4 linked regions of the Caenorhabditis elegans genome follow. The protein of the gene in region 1 purifies or fractionates together with the protein of each later gene. This does not show direct contact. Each region holds a gene or a part of one and is shown on either strand. Other genes may lie near its edges.

Region 1 (9,773 bases):
GACATTGCTTAAAATCTTCGAATTTTACCAACATTTCCATGTCGCAAATTAATTTTTATTTAATAACTTTTTTATTTTGCGTATTTTCAGTGAAAATTGTCCAGATTATCGTTCCAATCATCAGAAAATGCAAAAGAGAGAAAAAAACGTGCAAAAGTAAATAATTAAATAAAAATTAATTCATCAACACGGAAGTTGAGAAATTACACGGAAGTTGAGAAATTGGAGAATTTAGTTCATCGAAGTTTATTTTCGAATTTTTAATCCATCAAAACCGGTCTATTGAGGTAATTTGAGTATTTTAACTTTACTTTAATTTTAATTTTTCAGTATTTTAATGAATAATTCTGTGCCCTATCCATTACGAACCGGATCACAATGCGGACATTTGTCGATCGTGTGATACACGACTTTAGCATTCCATGTCATCTTCTGTGCCTCGTGAAGTCCAAGTTGTAGCTCATTTTCAGGCGGTGGTTCAGTGGTTGCTCTCCGTTGACTTGAGTTATTGCTGCTGCTGGGTCCAGCTATTTCGAACGCCATCCCCGTGGATCCACACCGCCTTCACGGACCAAAGCAGCACCTGCGCTTTTGAACGAAGATTTTCGAAATTCTTTTGCTCACTTGGAAGGGATGACTGAAAAAAATCGATTTTTTGAGAAAAACTAATTTTCAGAGAATTTAATTATTACAAAGACGCGAACATTTGTACAAAAAATACGGTAACCGGTCTCGACGCGACAATTTTAGTTCAATGCAAAAATGTGTTTAACAAAAATATCGTAGCTGCATAATTTTCATAGATTTTGTTCAAATTTTAAGTATTTTAATATTTGTATGAGTAAATATATTTTTGAGATAAAATCGATGAAAATTCTGTGCAAACAAAAGTTTTTCGATTAGAAAAATAAAAATTGAAAGAAGATTATGAAAAATCGATGAAAATTCCGTAACAAAGAGATTCTTAAACTACAGTAATCCTTAAAGGCGCACACCATTTTTGCATTTAATACACATTTGTCGTTTCGAGACCAGCCACTGTACTGTTGCTGCAAAAAGCGCAAAATTTTCGTTTTTAAGGAACTAATATTGAAAGAATTTGTAAAATTTCTTTTTTAAAGATAATTTTGCCAAAAATAAAATTAGAAAATTATTTTTATATTTGGAGAGTATTAGGAAACTCTGATATTTTTTAAGGTATTTAAAAAATTTTTAAACGAGAAAAAATAAGCGAAATTTGACTTCAACAAAAAAAAAGGGATTTCTTTAAAACATTAAAATAATTTGACAAGTCTTCATTTTAAATATCTATCGCAAGAGTTGTTGTTGTTTTTTTTTTTGGGAATAAATTGATTGATATTGGAGAAAAGTAATAGAAAAACAAAAAAAAACCACTGACAACCAAAACAATTTTGTTAGATTAATCTAGATTCAAGAGAATATTTGGAGGGAAATGGGATTAAAATATAAAAGGTTTCGTTTTCTATGAAAATGTGATGAAAGGAGGGAGGGAACACGGAGATAGAAAAATAAGTTATCGAGATCCAAATAAAAAAAACAAAAATTAGAAAATTATTTAAAGATTATAATCAAGTTCGTAGCGGACATATTGATTTGTTGGGGTGTTCTCGATACGTGGATAGGCGGCAATAAGAGCATCTGCGGAGCCAAGAATTAGGTTGTTGAAGACCTGGAAATATTAATATGAAATTACATAAAAATTTAGCGCTTGTGGAAAAAACGTCTCAATATTCCGAATACAAATTTTAAAAAATTTATAGAAATTTTCTAATCTTTTTTTAAATTTTGCGGAAAATTTGAGAAGTACCAAAACATTTTTGAATTCCCGCGCAACCTGTATTTAATTTTTTCCTTTTTCAATTTTTCCGGTCGCTCACTTTTGGTCGAAAAAAAAGAAGATATTTCACAATAAAAATAAATTTTCTCTGAAAAATAAAAATTCAATTGAAAAAAATCATTAAAAAATTAGAAACATTCTATAAATATTTTAAAAGCTATATTCCGAATATTTCCACTATTTCTGTAATTGAAAATTCAAGGAAACTAAAATAATTACCTTCCACACTGGTTCTCGAACTTTTCTCGCTGGATGCCAAAGAGCTTGCAGGCAATATTGAAGAACCTGAAATGAATTTTAATTTTTGAAATTATTAAGAATTTAAAATAAAAACCTTAATAGGTCCCAACGAAACTCGCATTCCTTCACATGCAAACACCCATCGTTGAATAAGATGCGGTGAGTTTTCCAACATATTGGGCCACACATAATTCAATAAATGAATAAGTGCATCTTCACAACCAAATCCATAAACTCCAATAGCAAGATGAGCAACTGCGTCGACTGCAATCTGACGATGAACTTGATCTCTTTCCATTAATGCATCAATGAGCAGCGGAACAACTGCATAAATGTAGTCTTTTGCCATTTCTCCAATGTATTCGAACATGAATGAAAGAGCTTTTAAAACTCCGTTTTGTACATTAATTTCAGGTACACGATACTCGTTCATAATTGCTGGAAGTACTGTAAATGGGGCACAAGTTTCCGAAACAATGGCAATGGCGACTGTTGTACACACACGGAGCTGGCGTTCTTGGACCTGAAAAATAATTTATTTTAAAAGAATCACTTCTAATCCGAGCCTACCTTCAAATTATTGAGCAACGTTGCGAGAACATCATGTGGTCCGATAGCTTTTGCAATAAATCCAAATGTATTAATTGCAGCTCTTCGAATACTTTTCTTGTGAGCTTTAAGCAATTCGAGAAGCTCGAAACAGATTCTCATCCATTCTCTTGCAGATACAAATTCAGATCCTCTATCAGCGATTGCTCCCACCAAATCGATACAGTTCTCCTGCACTTTCTCGTGACGATTCTTCAAAATTGGTGTCAATCTTGGCAGCAAATCTTTGATTGGTGGAGTCATTTTGGTCATTCCAATAACATTGCAAATTGCTTTCAATGCACCGAGAATTGATCCAAGTACTTCTGGATATTCTTCTCCCAAATACTCATACAATACTACTCCCATGTGTCCCATCATTTTCTCCTCTTCACACATATGCATAACCGGTGCAATTCTGGCAATTAAATCAGCAGCTTGTTGACGAACTTTTGCAGATTTGTTGTTGAGACGCCACAGAATAGTACCACAGATTTGTGGGATATATGCCTTGGCACGTCGTCCAAGACTTGAGCAGATTGTTCCAAAACCATCAAGCATCACAGAATCTTCTTGAGTTTGTTCCTGGAAAGCATAAAGAAGACCATCAATCAGTTGTTCTTCAAGTCGAGCATCAATATCAGTCGCTCCTTGCAACGCTACAATATTCTCAATTGTTTCCATAACCATTTTTCTGTATTGCTCATTTTCATCCTTCAAATCATCAACAATTCGAGCAATCATCTCAACGCATCCGACTTTTTGAGCAATTTCCACAGTTGTATCAACCAATTGGCGATAGTTACGACGATCCATAGCCATTCTTTGATTCCAGAATGCTTTGAAGAAGCTTGGAAGTACTTCGTCTCGAATGTAACTCGCTTCTACTCCGTCTGTTGCACAACACTGCTTGACAACCTGCAAATTTAAATGTTAAACGATAGTTCTACGAATGTTTTGGTTATTATATCACTCACCTTTAAAACAATCTTTTTCATTTCCTCATCTGGCGATGCAAACTCGCGAATCAAAATGAGCATCACTTCTCTTGTATAATATGAAGCATATTCTGCGTCCATCAATGGAATCAGGTAACCAATAGCTTTAAGGAATGCAGCAAGACCTTTTCCACGATGCATACGAATACCTTTCCAAAGAGGTTTCAACACTGAATCGAAAGCTTCAATTCCGTATGGAGATGAAGCTTCGGCGAGAGCTGCCAAGCAGAGAGCAGTGATAGTTCGGACCTGAAACGATTTGCATCAATTCCAGAAACTTTAGAAATTAAAAAGAAAACCTTTTGCTGTTCATCATCCAATCCGCTTTCAACAATATCAACAAGTGCTTTCAAATGTGGTAATACTGCACAACCCATCAAAATGGCCATTTGTTGAACAATTTTAATACCCGTGTGCCGAGCCTGCCAACTTTTTTTACTTTTGCACACAGCTTTAAGGAATGGGAGGAGAGCTGGAATTCCGAGAGCTGAGGCGACGACAGCGAATGCACGAGCGGTTGTATTACGGACATATCTGCAAATTTTTGGGTTTGATTAAAAGCTTTGTGATGTTTTTTCTGCTTTAAATTCATTAAAACTGACCCGCAAATACCGAATTTCATAGTGAGATTTTTAAAAATCTAAAAAATACATTTTTAAAACTTTTTTTGAAAAAATTCGGTCTTTTCGGACTTTTTTAAATTAAAAACTAGTGTAAACCTATAGAAAATCACTTGATTAATCTGAAATTAACATTAATTTCAGCTGGAACGTTTCAGAAAGTTCTCAAAAATGGCCAAAAGTTGCCAGATTTTCTATAGTTTCAAACTAATTTTTAATATTTCTTCAATTTTTTTACTGTTTTCCAGGGAAAATTGAACAACCATATATTTGGTGTTTGTTTAATTGAAAAATCAACAAAACTGTCGACAAACTTACTCATCAACATTATCAATATCAGGCCTCATTGTAGAAATCATTGTTGCCAATCCAGCGGCCTTTGCAAGGTTGGAAATGATCTCACGACCTGAAAATATTTAATTTTTAAATTTTAAAATTTATTCTAAATTTTCAAACCTTCAACTCTTGCATAATAATCCTCATCGATAAGAAGTGGCTCAATGACGACAAGAATCTTATGCACATATGGTCTGACGAGATCATCCAATTTGTATAGAATTCGATCAATAACTTTTACCATCAAATGCCGTTCTTGATCCTCCAGCGATGGTGACATGAGAAGTGGAAGAATTTGATTGAAAAGTGGACCTGCTCCGTACTTTCGCGCGTTTTCTGTTATTTTTCTCAATCCGCTCTTTCTCATTGGCGGGGTTCCATTTTTGATTTTCAATAAATGCTCCATAATTTCCCGTTCATTTTTCTCTTCTTTCGTGAGTTGACTCTCATCTACATCCATCAACAACTTATCGAAATATTGCATATCATCTGGCTTTAGAGGTGGTAATTCTGCATTCTTAGGTTGAGTATCCACCAGACCACCGACTCCTTTCTCTCCGATTCCATCTCTATCTGGTGTTCCAGGCATAAAGAATCCTCCACCAGCAGCTCCACCCATTGGAGTTGGAGTGGCCATCAACTTCCGTGATGGTGTTCTCAGAGGAATGTAGTTCATTGGAGGAACCAGAACCTTGTAGCCAGGTGGGAATAGTGAATCGAGTTCTTCATCAGTCAATGGACGGTTTCTGTCATCAATTTCCTTCTCCCATCGGTAAATTTGCATTTGTTCAGGTGTCATTGGAATCATATGAGGAGCTGGTGTTTTCATTCCCATTGCTGCCGTTCCAATTGGAGTTGCTCCACCTGAATATATTTTATATTAATTTTATATTAATTACAATATTTTGTAATAAACCTGGAGTCATTGCTCCGATTGGAGTCTGTGAAGGGTGGCTCGGTGTGAATGATGGTGTCTGTAATCCGGAATGAAGTGGAGTAGCTGCTGCCACATTCGGAGTTTGTGATGGTGTCAGATCCCATCGTGAACGACGCTTCGATGCGGATGGAGTATCCTCAATCTTAACATCATCTGATCCTCCTCTAGCAGGAGTCTCCATTCCCCATCCCGGTGTCATTGATCCATCATTGAGATTCTCTTTTGGAGTTTCATCCCAACGATTTCTTCTCGGGGTCTGTGCTGCCGGAGTCGTTGACCATTTATCCACAGAAGGAGTTGCATCAGCTGCTCCAGTCGAGTGAGCCGGTGTTTCATCCCATCTAGCAGCTCTTGGTGTTGCTGCATCTGCACTAATCTTCGAAAATCCTAATCTTTTTCGTGGAGCAGAACCCTGAGATGGAGTTGCAGAAGCTGCACCAAGATTATCAGAAGATGCATCAGTTGATGGAGCTTCAGCATCCCATCTTCCTTTCTTTTTCTCTGGCTGTCCAGTAACATGAAGCTCTCCAGCTTTTGCTCGATCGGCAAGCTCCCGTTCAACACGCCCTTTCTCTTCATGGTACATCTGATCACGCATAACTTCTGCGTAACCTCGATTCCGATTGTCAGGAGTTTGATCAACTGAAAGAATAAATTTAATTAAAGTCAAAATGATTTTCGATCTTACCAAAAGCATCCGCTCTGTCTGGAGAGATCTGTCTCCTCATAGCTCTTTCGTGATACTTGGATTGTCGTTCTGCGATGGTTTTTGTGCGAGTATCTGCGAATGGATCAGTGTCCTCGGAGGCAGCAGCCACCTCTTCGATGAATTTGTGTGGCTGTGCATAATTTGTACTTTTCTTTTGTACACTCGGCATCGAATCCTCATCGACGTCATCTTCTTCTCCGGTTCCAATCGAGTCTAGGTAACTATCCCGATTTTCACCACGAACACTTCCGTAAACATCCTGAAATTGAAAAGATTCAAAAAGTAATAGAGAATTTTCAAATTTTCAAATAAAGTATTAGAATTCACTAACCGTGTCGAAATTACCAGCGGCTCCGAAGGCCACTTTATTTCCGTTTCCCTTATTCTCATCGTTGTCTTCGGCTGCCGCGGCACGCTGGTTTGCGACCCTTTTGCGGTTCAACTCCTGCGCATAAGCCTCGCCTGAACGAGACATCGATCTACAATCAATATTGATTATATGGAAGAAAGATTAAAGTTGGAAGGAAAAAAACTTTTTTTAGAAAAGATTTAGAAAACAACATCCTAAACTTCGATAGCTTGCGCGAAACCATTTTCAAATTGTAATAAACAATTGCAAAAATTTATTAATGAAATCACTAAAAAGAAATGGAAACCATAATCCTTTTACAATGAACAATATTCAAAGAAATACACTCAAGAAACTAAAATATTAATACCCTTGAAAAATAATGGATTATCTTACGAATTTTTATGAACATCAGACAGACAACAATATTTAAAGTTTTTCTGTTGTTTTTTTTTAAATAATTTAAAAGTTTTTAAACGTAAAATAACTGAAAACTGTCCCTTAAAAGGCGAAAATTGCATTCGAAATTTTGCACGAGAATCGCGTCAATGCACCGGTCGCGCGCCAACAGCACCTGCTGGCGCGCTCTCCGATCAGTGGAGGAAGATCGAAGATTGTGTTCACTTCAAGAGTTTTGACATTTCATTTGGAATATGGTGAGTTGCTCGTTTTAGTAGGTCTTTTCTGTTTTTTGTTGTTTTTTAGTGTTTCTTTCGACGTATATCGACTTTATAAGCAAATTTCCAATAAAATTGTGAACTTTTTTAAAAATTAATTTTTTTTCACCAACATTGTGGCCACTTTAAAATTGAAGCATAACTAAAATGTTCTTATTTTTAAATTTTTATTTAAAATAAAAGCTTTCTTATTTTTTTAAGTGGTTTTATCATGTTTTTGCTTTCTCGTTCTTATAGAGAGAGAGAGAGAGAGAAGAGACGCAGAATACTGGGGCAGCATATAGCATGTGTGTTGTTTAGATGTCTCCTTGCCCCTACAACCCTTTTCTATCGATTTCCCCGTTTTTTTCGGTCTGCCACGTGCTTCTTTTTCAGTTCATGCCTTTTCTCCTTTTATGAGATTCTTTTTTCCCCAACAAAATCTTATCGAAAATTTCAGGGTAAAGTCTGAAAATGGCTCCGAACAAGGCTGCCGCTGAAGAGTATCCAGTGGATATTGTGGATTTAAGTGATGATTTTAAGAGTAGCAAGACTCTTGATTTGGTCCTAGACGAGGAGCACAAAGTCTACAGATATTGGATTCATTTGAAGTGTATGAAATGGTCAGTTTTACTTCTAAACGATAAATTGTTCACTTTTCTGGAAAAAACGCTGAATTTTGGCTTTATGGTTAAAAAAAAACATAATTTTTAAGAAGTTGAAACTACAGTACTCTTTATTGTCGTTTCGAGAAACCGTATTTTTGCACGGAAATCGATCAACGTTGCTTCTGAGAAATAATATAATCCCATAACAAAACTGAATTGTCAGGCAAATTGAGTTGCGTGCAAATTCCTTCGAATGCTTTGCTGCTTACTTCAAAACTCCAGCCACCTGGTCAGCGGAAGTTGAATTCGAAATTCGGGCTCACGTTACAAACTCTGTGAGAAGCGAAAAGTTTACTGGACGATATACAGGATCCAATCATGTCTACTTTCGTCCATTGAAGCTTCAAGATCATATGGTTCGAGAGAAGCTGAGAAGTATGAGAGTAGAAATCACAGTGAATGTCATTAAAACTATGAACTTCGGAATGCTCTACGACTATTTTGATGTTCTACCAGAAGAAGAGAATGCTTTGTTGAAAGTTGAAGATCGTCTTATTCGTGTGAATAAAAGATATCTGTCAATGATGTCTCCATTCTTTAAAGCATTATTCTATGGAGAATTGGGTGAAGATAAAGAAATCTATGAGATGAAAGAGAAGTTCCGTGAGATTATAACTTTCCTCAGATGTATTTATCCACACAGACAACCTGTTACAAGTATGTTCCACAATTTTGAGAATCGAATTATTATCAAATTTGCAGAGAAAAGCCTCGACTATCTTCTCCAACTCGCAGATCGTTATCAATGTCAACCAATTGTGGATGCGTGTGAGATGTTCATGTGTGCACATTATCATGAATATCAGAAGAAGACGGAGAAATGTTTCTCTTACGTGGAAAAGTATAAGATGCAAAGAGTTTTGGTACGTTCAAACGTGGACTTGTGGGGAATTTACTATGAATTGCTCCCGGTATCTACAACAAGCGTGGGCGGCAAATCTTCTGCAAAACTTACAAAACTGTTTGTTTCAATGTTATAATTCATTATATTGAATGAATGAAAAACTGGTATAGAAATGAAGAAAATGGGTTGTACCATCGGAAAAAATATTAATTTGAGTTTAAAATTTTGAAAAACACCTCAACTAGTACTCGAAAGCTATCATTTGCCAAAAACTTTTTAACTGGAAACGGCAACTTTAACGCAGTATTTGAAGTGCTTTTCAAATAGTTTAGAGCAAAAATAAACATTATTTTCAGATTGAACGAATAGTTTTCTACATTTCTATATTCATTTTATATCAAATCAAAAAGTTGGATTTTCATATTAAAAGGAGGGGGGGGGGCAACTTTGTAAATTTGCCAAAAATGTTTCAGCCAAATTAGTAAACTAATTTAATAACCAAACTTAAATTAGATCTCATCCAATATATATAAGTACATCAAATTAAGATAACCATAAGTGATAGCCCATTTACTTTTGTTGCATATTCCCGTCTTGATATCTTAAATTTTTCAGCGAATTATTGTCGAATACGTGGCAGTAACCCAATCACCAGCTCAATTCCGTCTTCAATCATACTATCGAGATCTTTCTGAGAAGACACAACTTGCTGTTTTGGATTACATGGCAAAGAATCAAAGTCGACGTGGAAAAGAGTTGGAACGTCGTCGTGGAGTAAATTCTCATCGAGCAAACATCGATCCAATCGACGATCAGGATCCACCAAATGGACGTCTTCTTGGAATTGCTGATCCATTGAGAAATGCGGATCCACGTCCACCACAGCCTGGCTACAATGTTCCAAGATATGGAAATTTCCGGCCACTTGTATTCGGCCATCATTAGTATTTTATCATAAGCTTTACCCCCA
Region 2 (6,772 bases), 3.1 Mb from region 1:
AGAACATGTAACAATTAATGTTTTCAATTTTGATATAGCCTATGCGTATTTGTAAAATAAAACCAAATGCTCCTCAACTTTACGTAATCTACAAAATGTTTTCTTATAAAACGTACATCTATTTTCCCTAATTCTGCACTAATTGTAGGACTATGAATAGGCCTTCGATCAAATGAAACGGCCGAAGAACTTCTTGATCTCGCACTTATTCGTTGATTTCCTCTTTTTTGAATGTAGAACAAAACCTGCTCCAATTGACTTCGTGACGTGGCAGGAATGAAAAGACATTTTTGAAGAATAACATTTGATAAAGCACGAATATCTACATCCAGACTCATTTCTTTCAAGTGGATTCTGTAATACAATTTGGGTAATTTTGTAGCCGTACAATGTTAGATGCAGGTGACATTTTGAGGTTCTCATATATATATATATTCGATTATTATTTTTTATCAGTTATTTTCCAATATTCTAAAAATTAAAGAGGCATGGATTCATGGGGAATGGGTCTCACAGCGAGCAAAATGCTCAAGTCAACACTTTTTGCTATTTTCGGTCGTGCGTTTTCTGTTATTCGGGGTTTTGTGAGCAATTATTAAATAACTTTTCTGTATCTTGATTGTGGTTTTTGCAACAGAAAAAATTTAAAGTGTTACCATAAACATTTTTCGCGGTGAGACCCATCCGAAAGAATACGTGCACCTTCGTGGGCATACGGTCTTAAAAATATTTTATTTTATTTTTCTTGTTAAGCAGATTTGCATTCCAGTTTAATTTTATATTTTATATCAGATTCTTACATTTTTTGATGGCCAAGAGACTCAACGTTCGCTGAAGAAGCTCGCTTTTTTATTGAAATTCCTGCTGAAGAACCTGAATCAAACTTCCAAATAATCTTCGTAACACATTCAATTGAAAATAAAAATATAAAACTTACTAGGAGATTGTTCAAATCGTACAATAATTGCCTGATCTGACGGGTGTGCATCTATTGAAACTTGATTCATTGAGCTAAACACGGAAAATCAATCGAAAAAACTCAAAAAATATTTCTCTTCATTCTGATTACCTATTATAGCTTACTGAAGAGCCGGGGCGGAGCATTTCTGAATAACTGACAAACGACAGAAATCGATGAGACGGCTCGAGGAGCACTAGTCGTGGGGGATGTCTGTTCGTCTCGCACGCTCTCCTTGGAGACGTTGCACTCGTTGTAATAAGAAATATTGCTTACACGCTTGTACCAGTGTTCTATTTTATTTGTTCGGAAAACTTTAATGAATTAAATCGACAAATGGGGGTTTTAACAATATAAAATTGAGAAACGAAGAGTACGGGATGGACGAATGAATGGAGGAAGGAAAGGAGTGGAGATTGATTGACATCATAAACATTTGTTTTAAATATTTAGACCATTTAGAGAAGTAAAATTTGATACTGTTTTAAGAGATAAGTTTAGCAAAAAAAATTAAAATTTGGAATTTAAAAACGAATAAAATGGGGATTGTTTTGATGAAAAATTGAGCCAGCAATTGGTGAGGAGTCATTAGCTCTAAATGGTCCACAGAGATAAAGAGGAAGGGATGTTGACAACGAAAGCTTGAATTGAGAGGAGATTCGCCGGGACCACAGCATCTTCTCGTGCCAGCCTAGATCATAATGAATCGAATTTAAACTTTTTCGAAACTATGTTTAAAATCAAAATTAATGTACACAACTTTTTGAAGCCGATTTACGAGAGATGGCCGAGGCCTCTTGGGGCGTGAACAACAAAGAAAAGGTTAGGTATTTACAGATGATAGATAAATCGACTGATGATTACTTCTTGGCACCCTTCTTTGGTTGCGCAGCCGGTGCGTTTCGTGGTGGGGTGACTGGTCTATTTGAACCAACTCCTCCAGCACCATATGGATATTTCTTCTTGTCTGCTGGTTTCAAGATCTGAAAAAAATATTCCGAATTGTTTTATTTTAATGTTTGATAGGTAGTTTTAGCGTTTAATAAATCACCTCAGACAAATGCCTCAATTTCACCCCGCTTAGCGGCAATTTCTTCGAAGAACTCGAATAGATAGCCAAAATAGACTCGTCTGATTTAACCATTGCATCATTGGTGAATGCATACGCATTATCAGTATTTAAAATTATATAGATGGTACCGCTATGTTTACCTGGAAAGAGCACATCAGTGTTTCATCGACAGTCATCATCGATCCCGCGTTATCAAACTCTCCACAATAATTAGGAGCGCTGAACAATGTAACCAACTGCCGCTTAGCGAAGAATTCGTAACCGTCTTCCACAACCTGAAAATTTCTCGGTTCGCAACTTTGCAGAAAATCTTAAGTAATACCTGGTGAGCTCTGCAAATCAAATCCAAATCGTGCTTGTGCAGGAATTTGGCAACAACTTCTGGTCCGAAAGTGAAAGAGACGCCTCGGTCGTTTTCTCCCCAGCCAGTGACATCCTGAAAATAAATGGTAATCATTCATTGAATTTTATGTTCACAAACGAACTTTATCAGGATCTGACCACAACAGATCGCACAACAATCCTTGATCTGGTACGTCTGTCGGCCTCATGATACGACGAATTTGCTCCATAGACTGAAGATCTGGAGAAAGTCCTCCGTGACAGCAGAAGATCTTTTCGTCGATGATGGCGGCAACTGGCAGGCAGTTAAAGCAATCGGTGAACGTCTTCCACAGTTTGATGTTGTATCGCCGCTTGCCTAAAAACATGAGATTTGAATAAATCTGTACTAAGATAATCTCAGATCAAACTCTTACACTCGTCATAGAAGCCATAAATTCTGTTGATCGAGGCACACTCGTGGTTTCCTCGGAGCAGGAAGAAATTTTCCGGGTACTTGATTTTATATGCAAGTAGGAGACAGATAGTTTCCAACGATTGTTTCCCTCGGTCCACATAATCGCCGAGGAACAAGTAGTTCGACTCTGGGGGGAATCCACCATACTCGAACAGTCTCAAAAGATCGTAGTATTGTCCGTGCACGTCACCTGAAAAATATATTTTCTCAGAATATATATTATCAAAAATAAAAACGGCAATTTCCTGTGGAAGGAAATACTAATAAGTAAAATGACTCATAGCAGGAAACGTCAACTTTTTTCGATAGAACTTACCGCAAATTTTCAACGGAGCTTCCAACTCGAGAAGAATAGGTTGGCTCAGAAAAATTTCACGAGACTTCTGGCACAACCCCTTGATCTCGCTCTCTGTGAGTTGAACATTTTTCCCTGGTTTGGATCCTCTGACTGAAGCGGAAATCATTTTAAGATTAATTTCAATAAACACTATGACAAACACATACCTTCCAATAATCTGGAGATGATATTGTCCAGATTAAGCTTTTCTACGTCCATTTGTTGCGAGAAATCGCTCAAACAACCCAATTAGATCTGCAATACGAATAGAATTACCTCTTTGAGATAATGTCAATCAACAAACGTGAAAATACGGAAAATTTAGAAAGAAAGTTTGATAATTACGTCTTTAAATCGCGTGATTACTCGAAAAGTTGATAAAAACAGCAGCAAACATGTCAAAAATCGAAAGATATTTGGAGGCGACAGGGTCAAAACGAATGAAAAGAGTGGCGGGTCTCGCCGCGAAAATGCCGCATTCAGCAGGGTACGGTGGCCGGTGGAGCGCTTTTACATGTTCTCATTTTTTCTGAATTTATCCGCTAATTTAATGATTTTGAATCTGTTTTTCTACATTTTTTCTTCTTGTTAAAATTAAAAAAAAGGGGACGTTCAAATTTTCAGAACTTCATTAGTATTGAATTGAAAAAGAGCGCGCGAAAAGGATTAACTTGGTTAGAGGGCTTTGAAAGTTGAATTTTACATTGAGGAAAATATTTCTACCATTATTTAGAAGATAAAGCTTAAAGTTTCTCTTTTCCCTGAAATTTTCACTATTTGTCAAAAACGGGGCACATATAATCGAATGATGCGCCAATTCGTCACTTTGTTTTCGACCAAGATGGCAGAGAAATTGGTTGGTGGTGAGAGATTGAAATGTGTAAATATAACAAATACACTGTTCTTCGTTCACGATTTGTCAGCAATTATGATCAGATGCAAAAACATGGGGAACAAGATGCATTAAATCTTATTAAGTGAAAGTTTAATAGATGAAAACGTAGTTATAAGAAGTTTATTTAGCATATTTTGATAAAACTTTTACTTATGAATCATTTTGAAATATGAGATTATTATAGTACTCAAAAGTTATATATTATTTAGCTAGAAATATATGAACACTTTGGTACTTCTGCATCCATGAATTCGTTCAGAAAATATATTGAAGCATTAGTTAGAAAATGAGCAGTGAGCATTTAAAAAAATCGATTGATGTCTAGTCAAGTTCAATAAGAAATAAGAAAAAAGAAAAATAGTTGGAGTGAGAAAAATCAGCAAAAAAGATGCGAGAAGTGTGGTGCTCATGGAAGCCTTCTTCTCCATCCTCCTCACAACTCCCTCCATTTCTCTGCGTCGCCTGTTCCCTCTAGTCCCTCGTGACCAACTGCAGTTTCTGTCGTTTTCTCCCCATGTCATGTCTAGCACACGTGAGAAGTGAAAAGAGAGAAAGAGAAGGGCATGATTTCGATTCTTCTGCCGCTTTTCTGTCACTGGTAACAATGCACCTTTGTCGGATCAGACACTCATAGATCGTTGATCTACCTGAAAGTTTGAGAAAAACAAAATCTCTGTTGTTTTATCTTCTCACATCTTCCTATTGATTATTTTTTCTCTTTTTTTTGTTGTCCTCTCTTCTCATTCGTTCTATCCTATCTGTTCCTGTTTGTGTTCTGTTCTTCACCACATTTTCTGAACAAATCGATAATCTGCACAGTTCGAAGAAGATGCCGCCAAACGCGAACTCTGTTGGGGGCCCGAAAAAGAAGAACAAGAAGAATCATCAACGCCCTCAACAGCAACATCAACAAACACAGCCACAACCGCTACCAGAAGAGGAACAGCCGGTAAAGTGTTACTTCATAATGATTTTTCAAAACTAAAAGTTAAAAAAATCGAATTTCAAAAAATCTCCTTTAAAAAACCGTTTAACGGATTTTTCCGTTTTCTAAAGCGCTGCAAACATCGAAACTATGCAATTATTTTCAAAGATAGATAAAATCTTAATAGATTCGGAACGCTAACGAATGTTTTTCTTATAGTACTACCCAGACGCGAAAATTCGTGCCAAAAAACGGTACTGGGTCTGGACACGACAAGTTTTTGTTGAATGTGAGCCTTTAAATAGTACTGTAATTCCAAACTTTCGATGTGTGGAGTTTACATAAATTTTTTATAGTTTTTCTTACAAATTCGATAAAAAATTCCGTAGCAACGAGTCGTGTCAAGGCCGGTTAACGTATCTTTGGCTTCTGCATACGAATGTATACATAGTATCAAACATAAGATAACTTTTAGTTTTTTCTCGTCGCAAAATAAAAAATATTAGGTATACGTCATTTCAAATGATTTTTGAATCTAGGTAAATTTGAAAAATACACAAATATATTTTACTTTTTTTGTCAAAAATTAATATTTCTTCCACCTGTTTTGCACAATTTCAACACATTGTGAAAGCACCATAACAGTGTCTGCGTCTCACTCACGATTTCATGAAATTTTCCAATATTTTCTTTCTTTTCTTCTCCACTTGATTGGCACTCCTCTATCGGTTTGACTTTCATTTCATCATCAGGTGACCACTGACCCTAACACATACACTCAAAATAATAAAACTCCGTGGCGTGTACTGCAGAAAACCTAATATTTAGACCCCGCCTTTTAATCGTCCACTCACGGGGAAAACGCAAAAAGCCGTACCCCAGGCAATATCAGCCGCCGACATCATTCGAGGTCCGCGCACCACACTATTTTTCTCACTGTTGGCGTGGCGAGCTGTCCCCCCCCCCCTCCCCTATTTTTGTCTTTTCCCCGTGAGTGGACGATTAAAAGGCGGGGCCTAAATATTAGGTTTTCTGCAGTACACGCCACGCAGTTTTATTATTTTGAGTGTACACGTTCAATGTTAATTATAACACATCATCTATTCCCATATGCTGTTTTTTCTCAATTTGAAGTGTGAACAAAAAATAAAACCAATTTACGTCTTTTGATTAACTTTGCGAGACTAATTTCCATAAAACCATTTCCATCTCAAAATTTATAAATTTCCAGGAAAACCCCATCAAGAAGGACCCAAAACCAGAAGTTTTAGAAGAAGTAGTAGAGAAGAATCGAGAAGAAGACAAAGAAAAAGTAGAAGAAACGGTGGCTCCGACCATCGAAAAAGAAAAAAACATTAGCGGGGATCTTTTGGATTTCAGCTCTTCGGATAAGAGTAGTTTGAGTAGCAGACCGGTATGTTTCTGATTTCATGTTTGAAAAATTTTGTAGAATTTAAAACTGAAAAAAGAATCGTCTCTCTAAATGTGGTAGTCTGGTTGAAATTTAAATTCTCAACAAGGACGTTTAAACTTTTTGAAATTTTTTTATAATATTAACACTCGATAACCCGTCATAATTTTTTAATTGAGAATGTGAAGGATTCGCCGGAAGAAGACGAGGACGCCGTTCCAGTGGTCAATAGGACCACAACGTCTCCTCCAACATCCCCACCGTCCCAAACAGCAGTTGAACAGGATTCTTTACAAGCTGAAGAAATGCTTGTCGATATGTCACTTGACGATGCTCCAGCTGCACCTCCAAGAAAACCACATCAGAGATCAGCAC
Region 3 (7,837 bases), on another chromosome or scaffold:
ACACTATCAACAACAATTGGAGCAGCCTCATAGTCATCTGCTGACAAGTTTCTGTAGATCTGAAAAATATTTAGGAAATTGTGCCGTAAATTCTAGCAAAAACACTTACATCTTGAGAATCCGCAGCCATTTTACTTTAAAAAATGAATTTGTTGATTAAAATCGAAAATTATCTGCTTTAAAGTATTAATTTTAGAGAGAAATCTGGAAAAAACTGGAAAAATCTGGAAAAGAAAAACAAAAAAAATTCAAGTCTGCAAAGTTGCGTGACGGTGTTTGCGGACAAACGCCTGCGCCTCTTCATTTCGCGTTGTGCCTCGCGGTTTTTAATTATAAAATTTTTTAATAATTAGAATTCAGTACACATTCTTGTAAAGCCTTCCTATCTTGTGTCACTGAAGCTTTTTCGCAAAAAAAGCGCTTCCAAAGTAGCAGAAGAAACTGAGAAAAATGAATAAAACATTAAATGTCTGCGCTAAAATCTGTATTTTATTTTTATTTCAAAAAACGAATAAAAATCTTGTGATGAAGTTTTATTGACGGAAAATCGAATGAATATTTCATTTTTATCAAATTCCAACAGTATCTTGTTGCTCGTAGTCGTAGTTTCGGGATTCCAGAGACAGAAGTGCTGGATTGCCGGGCTTTTGAGCATTTGTAACCGATTTTTCTTGTGGCGGCGCTTCTTTTTCAGTTTCTGTGTGTTTTGAGATCATTTCATGGCGAAGACAGCATGGAAGATGCACTTTCACAGCTTTAAACTTGATTTTTTGAAGTTTTTCAATCATTTTCAGCCCATTTTCAAGTCGTTCTTTCGAAATTCCGAGTTGCTCGGTGGTTTTTGCATTTTCCAGACATTCGATCAACTGATTTTCCTTTGCAAAATCCGTCTGTTTGATGAGCTAAAAATTAATTAAATAAAATATAAAACGCAATACTAAATTTCACCTGAAAACTGCCAGGTTTGCCACCATGAAAATGTTCCAGGTGGTGCTTTCCTTCATCTTCGGTGTGAAAATTCAAGTTCCGGCATCCAGAGCATCGAAACGGGCGGTATATTATATGAGTCTGGAGCATGTGGAACTCGTATGCCGCCCATGTTGACCAGGCCACGGAGCAGGTTTCGCAGACAGGCCTTGGAGCATTTTCGGGAATCGATTCCCCGTAGGAGTCTGGATTGAATTCGGGAACTGATGAAGTTGGGAGTTTTCCTGAAGGTTAAAAAAAATTAATTTCACAAATAATATTTATAAATAATCACGTTTTAATGCAGAAGCTGGCTGAACAACTCGGATGGTGCACTGGCGTTGAGGGGAGCTCTGAAAAAAGAAATCTATAAAAAATGGCAGTATTTCTCAGCTTATTTGCAACTCACGAGAGTGACTAGATAATCGTCATGGTCTTGGGCTCCTGATGTAGATGGCTCTGTCATTTCAACCTGAATTTTCTGTTTTTAATCTTTTTAAAGCATTATAAAGCTTTAAAAAAATTTAAAAAAAAAAGAGAAAATTCAATGATAAAACAGTGTGCAAAAATGAGAGACGGAGAGTATTTGGCGTCGGTTTCAGTGTTTGGTACGCAAACACCGACCCATTGCGTACTCTTCGAATTAAATTTTTTTTGCGAATTTTTAGATTTTTCAACGTTTTTGCGGTTAAAAACCTCTTTTCCTCATTGAAAACTTTTCAATTTTCAACTAAATGTTTTCCTTTTTCAGATGTCAGGCGAGGATGACTACAATTCAGACGATGAGGCTAACAAGAACCTATCTAAAAAGGAGCTTCAGGAGTTGAAGAGAAAACAGCAGAAAAGCAAAAAGAAGAAGGAATCGAAGAAGAGAGCAAAAGCCACGAAGCAAGCTGAAATAGAAACACGAGAGGAGCCGAAAAAAGAGGAGGAAAATGGTGACGATCTTGACGTGGAAATCGATTATATCGGTGAAACAATTGAAATTGAGCCGGATAACCCGCACGCTCAATACTTTTCCGCAATTTTTGATGCTTTTAAGGTAACATATCACTATTTGTTAATGTTTTTCCAATATATCGGCTTCCAGATCTCCACCGACTCAGAAGACGGCTTCTCCTACGGCCATCACGTTTCCAAAGGCGAGAAAAAGGATGATTTGGGAAAAGTCGGTCAGGCCGAGCGAATTATTCAAGAGGAGATGGAAGAACGTGCCAAAGAAAACACAGAGGAGAAGCTTTCGCGTAGAAAACTCCGAATTTCTCTTCAACCGAGTATTGCAAAGCTTAAAGAGACGACACTTCGAGCCGATGTTGTTGAATGGGCCGATGTGACTTCTCGTGATCCGTATCTCCTTGTCGCAATGAAATCTTATAGAAATTCAGTTCCAGTTCCACGCCATTGGAATGCAAAGCGTAAATATCTCGCCGGAAAGCGAGGATTCGAACGGCCACCATTTGAGTTGCCAGATTTTATTAAAAGAACCGGAATTCAGGATATGAGAGAAGCGCTGCTGGAAAAAGAAGAAAGCCAGAGCCTTAAATCAAAAATGAGAGAGCGGGCCCGCCCGAAGCTTGGAAAAATCGATATTGATTATCAAAAACTTCACGACGCGTTCTTCAAATGGCAAACCAAGCCGGCTATGACAAAAATGGGCGAGCTCTACTATGAAGGAAAAGAGATGGAGGCGATGATGAGAGACAAGAAGCCGGGTGAAATGTCGGATGAGCTTAGAATTGCACTGGGAATGCCCATCGGATCGAATGCGTTCAAGTTTCCACCGCCATGGTTGATTGCGATGCAACGTTACGGACCACCGCCCAGTTTTCCGCATATTAAGATTCCTGGATTGAATGCGCCGATTCCTGGTACGGTAAAATGTTCTGGATGTACTATTTTAGAGCAGAAATCTAAAAAACATTATGAAAAATTTTACATTTCAACATAAAATTACCAAAAACCTAGAAAATTGCCTGCTAAATTTCATTTTCAACGTAAAATTAACAAATCTGTGAATTTTTGCACCTGTACCGACCACAAGAACTGAGATCGTGGCGAGACCCGCTTTAAGCGCCAAATTTTTGCAAAATGATAAATAATTTTCTTTTGATAAAAAATTTTCTTCGCATAATTTAACACACAAATATTCATAAATTCTGCCAAAAAAAATTATTATGAAATTTTCAGATATTTTTTTCGCAAAAACATGTTATCCTGAAAGAAATTAAGACAAACTTGACAATTTTATGTTCAGTAAATACATTTTACGAAAAAAAAATGTCTGAAAATTCAGAAAAAATTTGGTTTTGGTTGAAAAAATTATGAAATCAAATTTAGAAAAATAAAAAATAACTTCTTTCACGATTTTCAAGCAAAAAATACGATACTGGGTCTCGACACGACAAATTAATGTTTAATGCGAGGTGCTATATTTTGATCAATTTTTCCAAATTTATCAATTAAAAACTCAAAAAAAAAACAAGTTTTGGTAAATTTTGGGAGATGCCACATTGAAAAGTTGGTTAAATTTTCAATTTTAACGGATTGTAGGTCATTTTTTGAGCCACCATAACTTTTTTTGAGGTTTTAAAAAAGTGTGCTTATGAAATTCGGTAGTTTAAACGATTTCGAGTCTAATAAAGCAATAAAAAATTTCGACTACAACTTTAAAGCCGTAAAAATGGAAAAAAAATTGAAATTTTCAGAGGGCTGCGCATTCGGCTATCACGCAGGAGGTTGGGGAAAACCACCAGTCGACGAGTACGGACATCCTCTGTACGGAGACGTGTTCGGATTGGCCGCTCCAGCTTTCGAGCCCGAAGACGAATCGCAAATCGAGCGGCGATATTGGGGAGAGATCGGATCCGACGAGAGCAGTGACGAGGAAGAGTCGGAGGAGGAAGAACATGCCGACGATGATGATGCTGATGTTGAAGGAGGATTCCAGACACCTGCACCGGTTGAGGGAATGATCACACCATCTGGAATGACGACTGGAATCACTGGAATCGAGACTCCTGACACGATTGAGCTCCGGAAAGGAAAAGAGAGCTCTGTGCTCGGAACAGACACTCCTGCGGCTGCCTATCATATCATTCCGGAGAAGAAGAACGAACGTATCGGTGGACAAATGATGGCATCCTCCCATACTTATGATCTTTCCAAGAAGCATGCGGTTCGTGACGATGGAGTTCAGATTTCGCTGGATCCTGAGTCTATTGATATGGATGAGCAAGGACTGGCGGCTCGGTACGAGGAGCAGCTCCGAAAGCAAAAGCATCGGGATGATGATGATGAGGATCGAGAGGATTTGACGGATATGGTGGCTGAGCACGCTGCCAAACAGAATGTTAGTGTGTCGAAAAAAAAAATTTCTTGAAAATTCAAAGAAACATTTGAAATTTGTTGGAATTTCCCTAATTTTACTGTAAAAGTACTCTAGTAGTACTGTAGGATTACTGTAAAATTACTTCAGCACGCGGTGCCAATCTGTCCCATTACAGTTTGATCTACAAAAAATGCGGGAATTTTTTGCCCAAAAAAAAAATGACGGCGGCACGTTTTTAACCATGCAAAATCAGTTGAGAACTCTGCGTCTCTACTCCCGCATTTTTCGGAGATCAAACCGAAAAGAGACATTCTGACACCAGTGTTCAGGAGTACTGTAGGTGTTTTGTAGTAGTAGTAAAACTTTAGGGGTACTGTAGGGATACTGTACTGTTTTTGTATTTTGAAAAAATAGTGGAGATACCGGGGTACTGTAGTTTTGAAAAAATATTTCTTTTTGAAACGATAATGGATGGGATTATGGACTTTAGGTATACTGTAGGAGTACTGTAATTTTGAAAAAAAGTGTTTTCTTTTCTTCGTTGTAGTATTGTAGGGATACTATATGAGTACTGTAAAAGTGAATATTGAAAAAATAGAAAAAAATATCGTCTCAAAAAATTAAATTTTCATTTTCAGAGAAAACGCAAAGTTCAAGATGACAAGAAGAACAAGACGTCATCATCCTCGTCGTCAGGATCCAGTGGCAAGAAGCATAAGGACTTCAAATTTTGAAAATCTGATTGTTTTAATTTATTATTTCTTTCTCTCTTTTTTTTTGTAATTTTTAAGCTTAAATTCCAATTTTTCTGTCACCCCAAATAATCGCCCCACAATTTCAATTAAATGTATTCTGTAATTGAGAGTTTTATACATTTTTGGAAAAGTTTTACTATAAGAATTTGAAAGTGCACAAAAATTGGAAAATAATTTTTTAAAAATAAAAAAAATAAATTTCAAAATGTTTCGGTTTCTCAAAAAATAAAAATTAAAAAAAGTCGAAAATCATAAGTAAATTTAGAAAATTAATTTTAAAAAAAACGTGTTTCGTTTTGCTTCCAGAAATAATCGAAAATAAAAAAAACTTTATTTTTTTAGAATTGCAAAAAGCGGGTCCCACCACGAAAATGTCAAGCTACAGTAACCCCATTTTCGTCGCGAGACCCAAAATTTCCAAAGTTAAAGGAACCTAGTCATGATTATACTTATTTCAAAGCTCTCAATGAGCTGAATTCAGATTTTGCAATATTTTTTTGAAATTTCGATGCGTTTCGTTGCGGGACTCAAAATTTGGAGAATTTCAAAAATTGGCAAAACATAGTCAGCTAAATTCAAATTTTGCAGTAATTTTTTTTCTAATTTTTCTAATGTACTTTCACTGAACAATTAATTAAAATTTCAGATTAAAAAAAATTAAAAAATCTGAAAAATTGGAAAATATAAAAAAAAGCAATTTTTTTTGAAATTCAAAAAATTTCTAAATTTTCCATCTACCAATTTTCAGAGATTGGAGCTGCTCAACAACAGAAGAATTCAATAGAGAAATGGATTTGGAGCAAATGAAGAAGACGAAAAATAAATAAATATGAAAAATAAATATTTTCTTTCTAACCAGGAGAAAAAAATGGGGAAAAAATTTATAAATCGAGTATTTATGACAGGAATGAATTAAAACAGAAATCACAGAAAGTTTAATTAAGCGAGAATTTTTCGCAGCAGAGTCGTGAAGATCCCACCATCAGTCCTTGAACAAGTCGCTATTATAGATGTCCTGCATTGAAGTGGCTGTGACACATCCAGCAAAAGTACGTTCAAGCTTCTGAAATAATTATTTTAAACTATGGATTTCAGATTGTCACAAACATCACGATCTGCAACTGACGCCGCGAGTTCCTTCAAATCCTGAGCCACTTGTGCAACATCTTGGTGTGGTGTGCTGGTGGGATCCGGAACTGAAATTAAAAATTTTCCTAATCTTTGAAAAAAAATTAGCAACTCACCATCATCTTGAACACCAGCTGGTCCTCTTTGGTTTCCTTCACAAGCAAGTTCCCGAAGTTTGGATCATTTTGAAAGACCCCGGCTTTATTTGCAAGCATCGTCGACAAGACGAATTGACGTAGGATGCTCGTCGCTACGTCCGCCGTCAGGTCACGCTGGCCGAACAGCGATCCGGCATTCTCCATCACCAAAACAAGCATGTGAGCTATGTCATCGTCAGGCAGCAACTCTTCGGGAAGTTTTTAAACCACAGCTGACGTCTTGAGAGGCGTAAAGTTGGGAGACCGTTTGGCGACTGGAATGAGGCGGGCATAGGCTTGAATTTCGGCCTGGGCTTGAAGGTTGACATCGTCCGTTTGCAGAGGATAGAGCTTTGCCACTAACTCTTTCCCTGTCCCTCCTGTGTTTCCATCTACAAATTGCCTTCCCATCGTTATTCCCATCGCTTTCCATGGCATCACATTTTTCCGTTTCGTGTACTCGAGGAGGTAACCAAATGCAGCTTTATCTGTAAAAAATGGAGTTAAAAAGTTATGCGTATTCTAGGATTACTGTAGGGTTACTGTAGTTAGAGTAAACTGATTTTTTTGGGTCTCGAAGAGAAAGTTAGTGTTCTGGGGGTACTGTAGTTATAACTTTAATTTTTGAATTTTAATAATTTTTTTGTTGTGATAATAATTTAAAAATTAAAGAAAATACCTTTCTCCTGATTCTTGCCAGCGGTCGTGCTTTCTGCGTTGGTTGGATGCTGTAAATTGTTTAAAACATTTAAAACATTGAAATTTTTGGCGGAAAATTCAAATTTTCAGATAACAATTCATTCGCAAAAAATTTAGATTATCGAGCTGAAATCGAATAAACTCATGAAATTGCAGAAATTGGCTCTCACCACGAAACTGCTAAGCTACAGTAACCCTATTTTCGTGGCGAGACCCAAAACTTGCAGAATTTTTAAAAATTGGAAAAACCTAGTCATGATTATATTTATTTGAAAGCTCTCAATGAGGTGAATTCAGATTTTTTAGTAATTTATTTTTAATTTCGTCGCTTTTCGTGGTGGGACCCAAATTTTGGAGAATTTTAAAATTGTCAAAACCTAGTCATGATTATACTTATTCGAAAGCTCTCAATGAGGTGAATTCAGATTTTTTAGTAATTTATTTTTAATTTTGTCGCTTTTCGTGGCGGGACTCAAGTTTATTCGAAAATTCCAATTTGCTGACAAAAATTTTTTGCCGATAAATTTAAATTTTCAGCGGAAAATTTTAATTTTCGAGCTGAATTTGAATAAACTTTTTCAAAAATCGGCTCCCACCAAGAAAATGCTAAATGCTACAGTAACCTCATTTTCGTGGCGATGCCCGAAATTTGGAGAATTTTAAAAATTGGCAAAACCTAGTCATGATTATACTTATTCGAAAGCTCCCAATGAGCTGAATTCAGATTTTTTAGGAATTTTTTTGTAATTTCGTCACTTTTCGTGGCGGGACCCGATTTTTGGAAAATTTTAAAAATTGACCAAACCTAGTCATGATTATACTTA
Region 4 (5,159 bases), on another chromosome or scaffold:
AAACGGGGAATTTGAGGAAGGATGAAGTGGCATTTGTTGTTGGGAAGCAACCTATTCGGCGGCGACAGCTGGGGCATCTCCAGAGGCTGCGACGTCAACCTGCAAGGGAAATCGAATTATTGACAATGACATTGAATATTAGTCCCTAACGGAAGATGAAGCGATTCATAAAGAATTCATCAGAACTGCTCGTGTACATCGCACACATTACGCCCCGATATATCCCATAATTAGTGCTAAGTCGCATACGCCTATCCTATATCTTTTTAGAATGCCTAATTAGATTCCTGCCCTTCGTTCTCACCTCATCCTCAACCTTGCTTTTCTTGGTCAATGGAGCATCCTCCTCTGCGTCGGCGACTGGAGCCTCTTCGTGGGCGCTGGACACACGCTTACGATCCTGCAAAAATAAAAATTGGTCAACAAAAATAATATATAACTATCTTACGTTGCCGTTGGTGTCCTTTGCTTCTCCGTTCTCGACTGCCTTATCCTTATCGGCCTCTTCAGCCTCAGTCTCATTCTTCTCCTCGGTGGCCTCAGCTTGAGTCTCCTCTGTCTTTTCACCGTTCCTACAAAAATAGTATAAATTGTAGAGAAACGGATTAGTGCAATCTGTTGCCTGCTCACTACCCTACGCCGTATTTGTTTTCACCATTGCCGCCTGTCTTCTTTATGGCACCATGCCTTCTGCACACTGCACCAATACACATACTATGAACAAATAAAAGGGCATAGAAAGAAATATGAATGACCCCTCAGTTTTTCACAGAACAGTTTCTACCATTATGACCGTCCCACATTATTCACGTCTTACGAGTGACCTCGAAGGAAAACACCACTCAACGCCCGCGCGCAGATGGATACAAAAAAGTGGCTCGCGATTTCCATAGAATTGACCTATATACTACAGTTTTAGAAAAATGCACAGGTAAATCGCAAATTATGAAACAAAAACTCACTGCTCACTGGTCTTCTCATCAATCACAACGACATCGTCCGATCCAGTCTCGGTTGGCTTCTCCTCGACTGGTTCGACAACCTCTGGCTCTTGAGCGACAACAGTCTCGGCAACGTCGGACATTTTTCTGTAAAACAAATGTTAATGTAGTGCTGGTGAATAAATCTGAATGAGAAATAGAAGAAACATTTGAAAATATCATTGAGTTTTGAGAAAAAAATATCGAGTTATTGTATTAAAAATCTGCTACTGAGGAAAAAATTTTTTTTTAATTTAGATGTGTTGTCGTTTCAAAAACACAAACGATGTTCTAGAAAACTTTTTCCTAGGAAGAGCGCGAACAACTCTATCGCGGAAAGAGACATCTTATTATTTGGCTCTCGCGCCTCACAGGGCCCGGCGCTGCGCGCCCGTCCACCGTCGGCCTAGTCTGTGCCTGACACTCACGCAACGCTCACTGGACAGCTAGAGGCGGCCGGCTGGTCGAAGGAAGCGGTGTCCTACTCACACTCCTCAACAGCGGACGAAACGAAGAATGAGGAGGGGAGGAGAGCCTCAATGCGATGGCCGCGAGTTTCGAATTGCCTCGTCGCCGGCAAGAGAACGAGAGGACGACAACGAAACGGCCCCGCCCCAAACGTCGGCTGCGCAAGAGCCTCTCGTCGACTGCTTTCTTGGCACTGTGCCAAATTCATGCTTCGTGCGGTGTGAATTAATCTAAACAGTAATTATCAAAACGCGAGATTTAGTAAACATTAACTGTACAAAACTAACGAAAAGGGGCAAATACACACACACCGACAAATGTTCGACGAGATTTTTCAAGGAAACATCACTCGCAGGCTTTCAAAATTCGCCTTTTTTTCGGTTTTTGTCCTAGTTTGCAACTCTTTTCAATTTAGAGAATAGAAAACGATAAGCTTTTTGTTTAGAAAACTCGAAAATTTGCGTTCTATTTCAATATATGAGTATAAAAATTAGCTCGAAAATCTCGTAAAAGGTTTTTTCTAATAATAATGACTATAAAAAGTACAACGGCAATTTCCAGAACAGTAAAAATAACAAAGCAGTAAATTAGCCCAAAATTGCGTTCGACCTTCAAATTCCCCAATATTGTACAGTAGTTGAAGTAATCGTGGTGAGACCTGTGTGAATAATACCATGTGCCTTTAAATATTTTTAAAAAATGAAGGAAGTCTCCGCTCGGTTTTATTCGGGAATTATTAAAATCAGAACAGCTCTGAGGATGAACAAATATTATAAAATAGAAGTGGTAAATGAACAACAGTAAACGGTATAAAAACACAATTTTAATCCTTTGGAGATCCTGGAGACGGAGAGCGAGACACACTGCGATTGCTGCCATCTCGGCTGTGACTTCTTCCACGGCTCACGCTGCGCTTTCTATCTCCGCCGTTCTGAAACCATATGATTTTTACTATACAAGCACATAAATGAATTACCTTTGGGGGAGATCCACTTCGGGTTCTGCTTCGATCTTTTGCTGGCAGTGGTGAACGAGATCTCGACGCTTCACGCTTCCTAAAATATAATTCTTGCATTTAATAGAGTCGGAATCTAAAGGACTCGAATACGAAACCGATATGTTTGCGCGAAGTTGTCTGATTCAAAGTTAGGGATCTCACTCTTTTAATCGAAACAGCGGCTTTTGGTAACTGTGGGGACTGAACGAGAAGTGAATTGAAATGTATTGATAGTTGACCCATACTGTGCTCGAACTGTCTCAGCTATGTGTATGCCATTGCGATGTGGGCTTGTAGGTGATATTGATTTCTCATTGAACTGTGGCTAAAACGGTTCGTGATGTGGCACCCTTCCAAAACAATCCACACATTAAAGTTAACTTACAAGTCTCTTTTCGGGCTCGGCGAACGGGATTCGCTTCTGCGACGACTTTCACGAACTGGTGATCTGGATCTGGAGGAGCTTCTGGAACGGGATCTGCGAGAACGTTTGCGATCACGAGAGCGGGAACGTCTTCTTGGTGGAGTACGTGAACGACGTCTAGGAGAGCGGGAACGTCGTCGTGGTGATCTCGATCCATGACGGTCATTGCCGCGTGGTTTTCCGCGAGCCATTTCCACGACAAGGCGCATAGAGCTGAAAATAAAAAGTTAGAACATTTTTAATTTTGGTTTATTATTTTATTACCTTCCTTCCATGGTTTTTCCATCCAAATCATGGCATGCGTCTTCAGCATCACGAGAATCTTCAAAATCGACAAAGGCAAATCCATACTTCATTGAGATGTTATTAATTTTGCCATATCCTTTTAAGAATCGCTCAACGTCGCGTTCGCGTGCATTGTATGGAATTTTTCCTAGATAGAGGCGCGGCATTTCTGGAAAATCACTTTATATTCAAAAATTAATTTATTAAACGCCGTTCATTAAGCCCAGTAAAAAAAACACATGAATTCGAGAAATCAATCTCAATTTTAAGAAGAGAAAGTCCTAAGTCAAGAAAAAGAAATTCTATCAAAAGCGCACACATGAAAACGAGTGCGACCGTACTCCTAGTCGTTGCGAGACCACTTGGCATGCCGCCAAGTCTTTTGCATTTTCGAATGTGCTCAAAATGACTGGATTCCAGTCACTGGAAATCTGTTTTGAAACATTTTTCCTTGATGCAGATGTTTTTATTTGTCATAACCTCTTTCTTATCAGTTAAAAGTTATTTTTATCGTCGTATTTTCTATTGAATTCCATCGTTTCCTTTTATTCTTCTATAATTGTATGTATTTCAGGTAGAAAAATGAAGTTGGTCAGATTCCTGATGAAGTTGTCTCACGAGACCGTCAATATTGAATTGAAGAACGGTACTCAGGTGTCCGGTGAGTATTTTTTAAGATTAATTGTCTGCTTGAAAGTGTTTTAATCGAGAAGTTGAGTTATTAACCAACCAAAATCAATCTTTCACGAATTGCTCGACATTTGTTATAGTGTTTTTATATTAGGATACATTTTCAAAGTCATAAATCCGAATAATATTGTATAATTTTAATTACTGCAAAAACGTAACTAAACAACTAAATCGATTTTATTTAGGCACTATCATGGGAGTCGATGTTGCGATGAACACACATCTTCGTGCCGTCTCAATGACAGTTAAGAACAAGGAGCCAGTCAAACTCGACACGCTTTCAATCAGAGGTTATTAAAAATCATATTTGAATAAATATAATTTAAGATTTTCAGGTAACAACATCAGATACATCATTTTGCCGGATCCACTCGCTCTTGACACCCTTTTAATCGACGATGAACCAAGAAAGAAGGCCCGTGCCGCTCGCGCCGGAGGTAGCTTTAAGCGTCTTTTCGACAGATTATTAATATTTTTATTTCAGCTTCACGTGGACGTGGTCGTGGTGGAATGCGCGGAGGAAGAGGAGGTCGTGGTCGCGGACGCGGAGGACCACGCGGAGGCGGTCCACGTCGTTAAGCTATCATCGGGTCATAGCAAATTTGAGTATCGAACGTCCTATACTTTTGTATCACGTTCCTCAAGTTTAATTCACATTTTGTTCCCGTTAAAGTTGCTGACTTTTGTTTAAATCTTTTGAAATAATTTATTACGGCTTTCCGAGTCAACACAAATTTCCCAAGTTTCGCAGCCCGTGAGAACAACTGTACTTTATTTTGTTGTTACGTTCTGATCTCTATAAATTTCTTCAATTCAAGCATTAAGAGCAACAACATAAGGGCAAAAATTATTTATATTTAAAACAAAAAATTCGAATAAAAACAAGAAAATTGCATTATGCACTTTGCGGAACCGGCAACAAAATTGTATCCGAGTCCTGCGGTCCAGTAGCTTCAAAAACAATAGAACTATCCGTAGAAGGTAAAACTGCATCCAATCGATGTCGCTCCTCATCTGGAAAAAAATATGTAATTGAGTTAAAATTTACGATGGACCAACCTTCAGAGTTTCTGGGAGTACGGGGTGGTCGAGGAAGCAGAAGAGGTTGTGTTTCAGATTCAGTTGAATTGTTTGAGAACAAATCTGTCCAGAAGGTACACTGAAAGCAGAAAAAATGCGAAAGTTCCCAAACACTCATAATAATATTACAGTGTAAACAGCCAAGAATATTCCAATGAAAATTCCGACAAGAACATCGCTCCAATGATGCTTATTATCAGTGATTCTGGAGAAGCTAATTCCAAGTCCAATCATA

The links.
Region 2: the proteins of sftb-1 (region 1) and gsp-2 fractionate together in Caenorhabditis elegans (co-fractionation; one large-scale study listed by BioGRID). This does not show direct contact.
Region 3: the proteins of sftb-1 (region 1) and sftb-2 fractionate together in Caenorhabditis elegans (co-fractionation; one large-scale study listed by BioGRID). This does not show direct contact.
Region 4: the proteins of sftb-1 (region 1) and snr-3 fractionate together in Caenorhabditis elegans (co-fractionation; one large-scale study listed by BioGRID). This does not show direct contact.

Annotation. Positions count from the first base shown.
Region 1 is NC_003281.10:4,262,506-4,272,278, forward strand, and holds sftb-1 (Splicing factor 3B subunit 1 domain-containing protein), read right to left. Parts: upstream 6,766-9,773; 5' UTR 6,762-6,765; coding exon 6,618-6,761; intron 6,546-6,617; coding exon 6,266-6,545; intron 6,220-6,265; coding exon 5,557-6,219; intron 5,505-5,556; coding exon 4,761-5,504; intron 4,711-4,760; coding exon 4,623-4,710; intron 4,219-4,622; coding exon 3,984-4,218; intron 3,934-3,983; coding exon 3,664-3,933; intron 3,605-3,663; coding exon 2,669-3,604; intron 2,622-2,668; coding exon 2,193-2,621; intron 2,144-2,192; coding exon 2,078-2,143; intron 1,691-2,077; coding exon 1,577-1,690; 3' UTR 1,278-1,576; downstream 1-1,277. Other genes in the region: depd-5 (DEP domain-containing protein), read right to left, coding at 370-543; R10E4.1 (BTB domain-containing protein), read left to right, coding at 7,766-7,914, 8,123-8,616, 8,662-8,822, 9,419-9,748.
Region 2 is NC_003281.10:7,333,236-7,340,007, reverse strand, and holds gsp-2 (Serine/threonine-protein phosphatase PP1-beta), read right to left. Parts: upstream 3,422-6,772; 5' UTR 3,386-3,421; coding exon 3,334-3,385; intron 3,278-3,333; coding exon 3,146-3,277; intron 3,020-3,145; coding exon 2,789-3,019; intron 2,731-2,788; coding exon 2,516-2,730; intron 2,467-2,515; coding exon 2,353-2,466; intron 2,306-2,352; coding exon 2,171-2,305; intron 2,117-2,170; exon of another isoform or gene 2,006-2,116; intron 1,942-2,005; coding exon 1,819-1,941; 3' UTR 1,243-1,818; downstream 1-1,242. Other genes in the region: kap-1 (Kinesin-associated protein), read right to left, coding at 117-354, 801-873, 938-1,007; F56C9.10 (BCAS3 WD40 domain-containing protein), read left to right, coding at 4,891-5,010, 6,218-6,400, 6,577-6,772. UniProt on the Caenorhabditis elegans protein: Serine/threonine-protein phosphatase essential for chromosomal dynamics during meiosis and mitosis. During meiosis, promotes chromosomal cohesion and germline immortality via a small RNA-mediated genome silencing pathway.
Region 3 is NC_003283.11:126,520-134,356, forward strand, and holds sftb-2 (PSP proline-rich domain-containing protein), read left to right. Parts: upstream 1-1,717; coding exon 1,718-2,008; intron 2,009-2,056; coding exon 2,057-2,834; intron 2,835-3,671; coding exon 3,672-4,315; intron 4,316-4,932; coding exon 4,933-5,028; 3' UTR 5,029-5,152; downstream 5,153-7,837. Other genes in the region: W03F9.1 (Zinc finger protein ZPR1 homolog), read right to left, coding at 1-59, 110-130; W03F9.2 (C2H2-type domain-containing protein), read right to left, coding at 570-902, 949-1,211, 1,262-1,319, 1,376-1,432.
Region 4 is NC_003280.10:6,488,331-6,493,489, reverse strand, and holds snr-3 (putative small nuclear ribonucleoprotein Sm D1), read left to right. Parts: upstream 1-3,728; 5' UTR 3,729-3,736; coding exon 3,737-3,815; intron 3,816-4,029; coding exon 4,030-4,134; intron 4,135-4,179; coding exon 4,180-4,281; intron 4,282-4,328; coding exon 4,329-4,423; 3' UTR 4,424-4,659; downstream 4,660-5,159. Other genes in the region: T28D9.1 (uncharacterized protein), read right to left, coding at 52-99, 305-400, 449-572, 963-1,084; T28D9.11 (uncharacterized protein), read left to right, coding at 1,497-1,682; rsp-5 (putative splicing factor, arginine/serine-rich 5), read right to left, coding at 2,272-2,379, 2,425-2,503, 2,831-3,082, 3,134-3,321; plpp-1.2 (Phosphatidic acid phosphatase type 2/haloperoxidase domain-containing protein), read right to left, coding at 4,740-4,858, 4,904-5,003, 5,054-5,159. UniProt on the Caenorhabditis elegans protein: Plays a role in pre-mRNA splicing as a core component of the spliceosomal U1, U2, U4 and U5 small nuclear ribonucleoproteins (snRNPs), the building blocks of the spliceosome.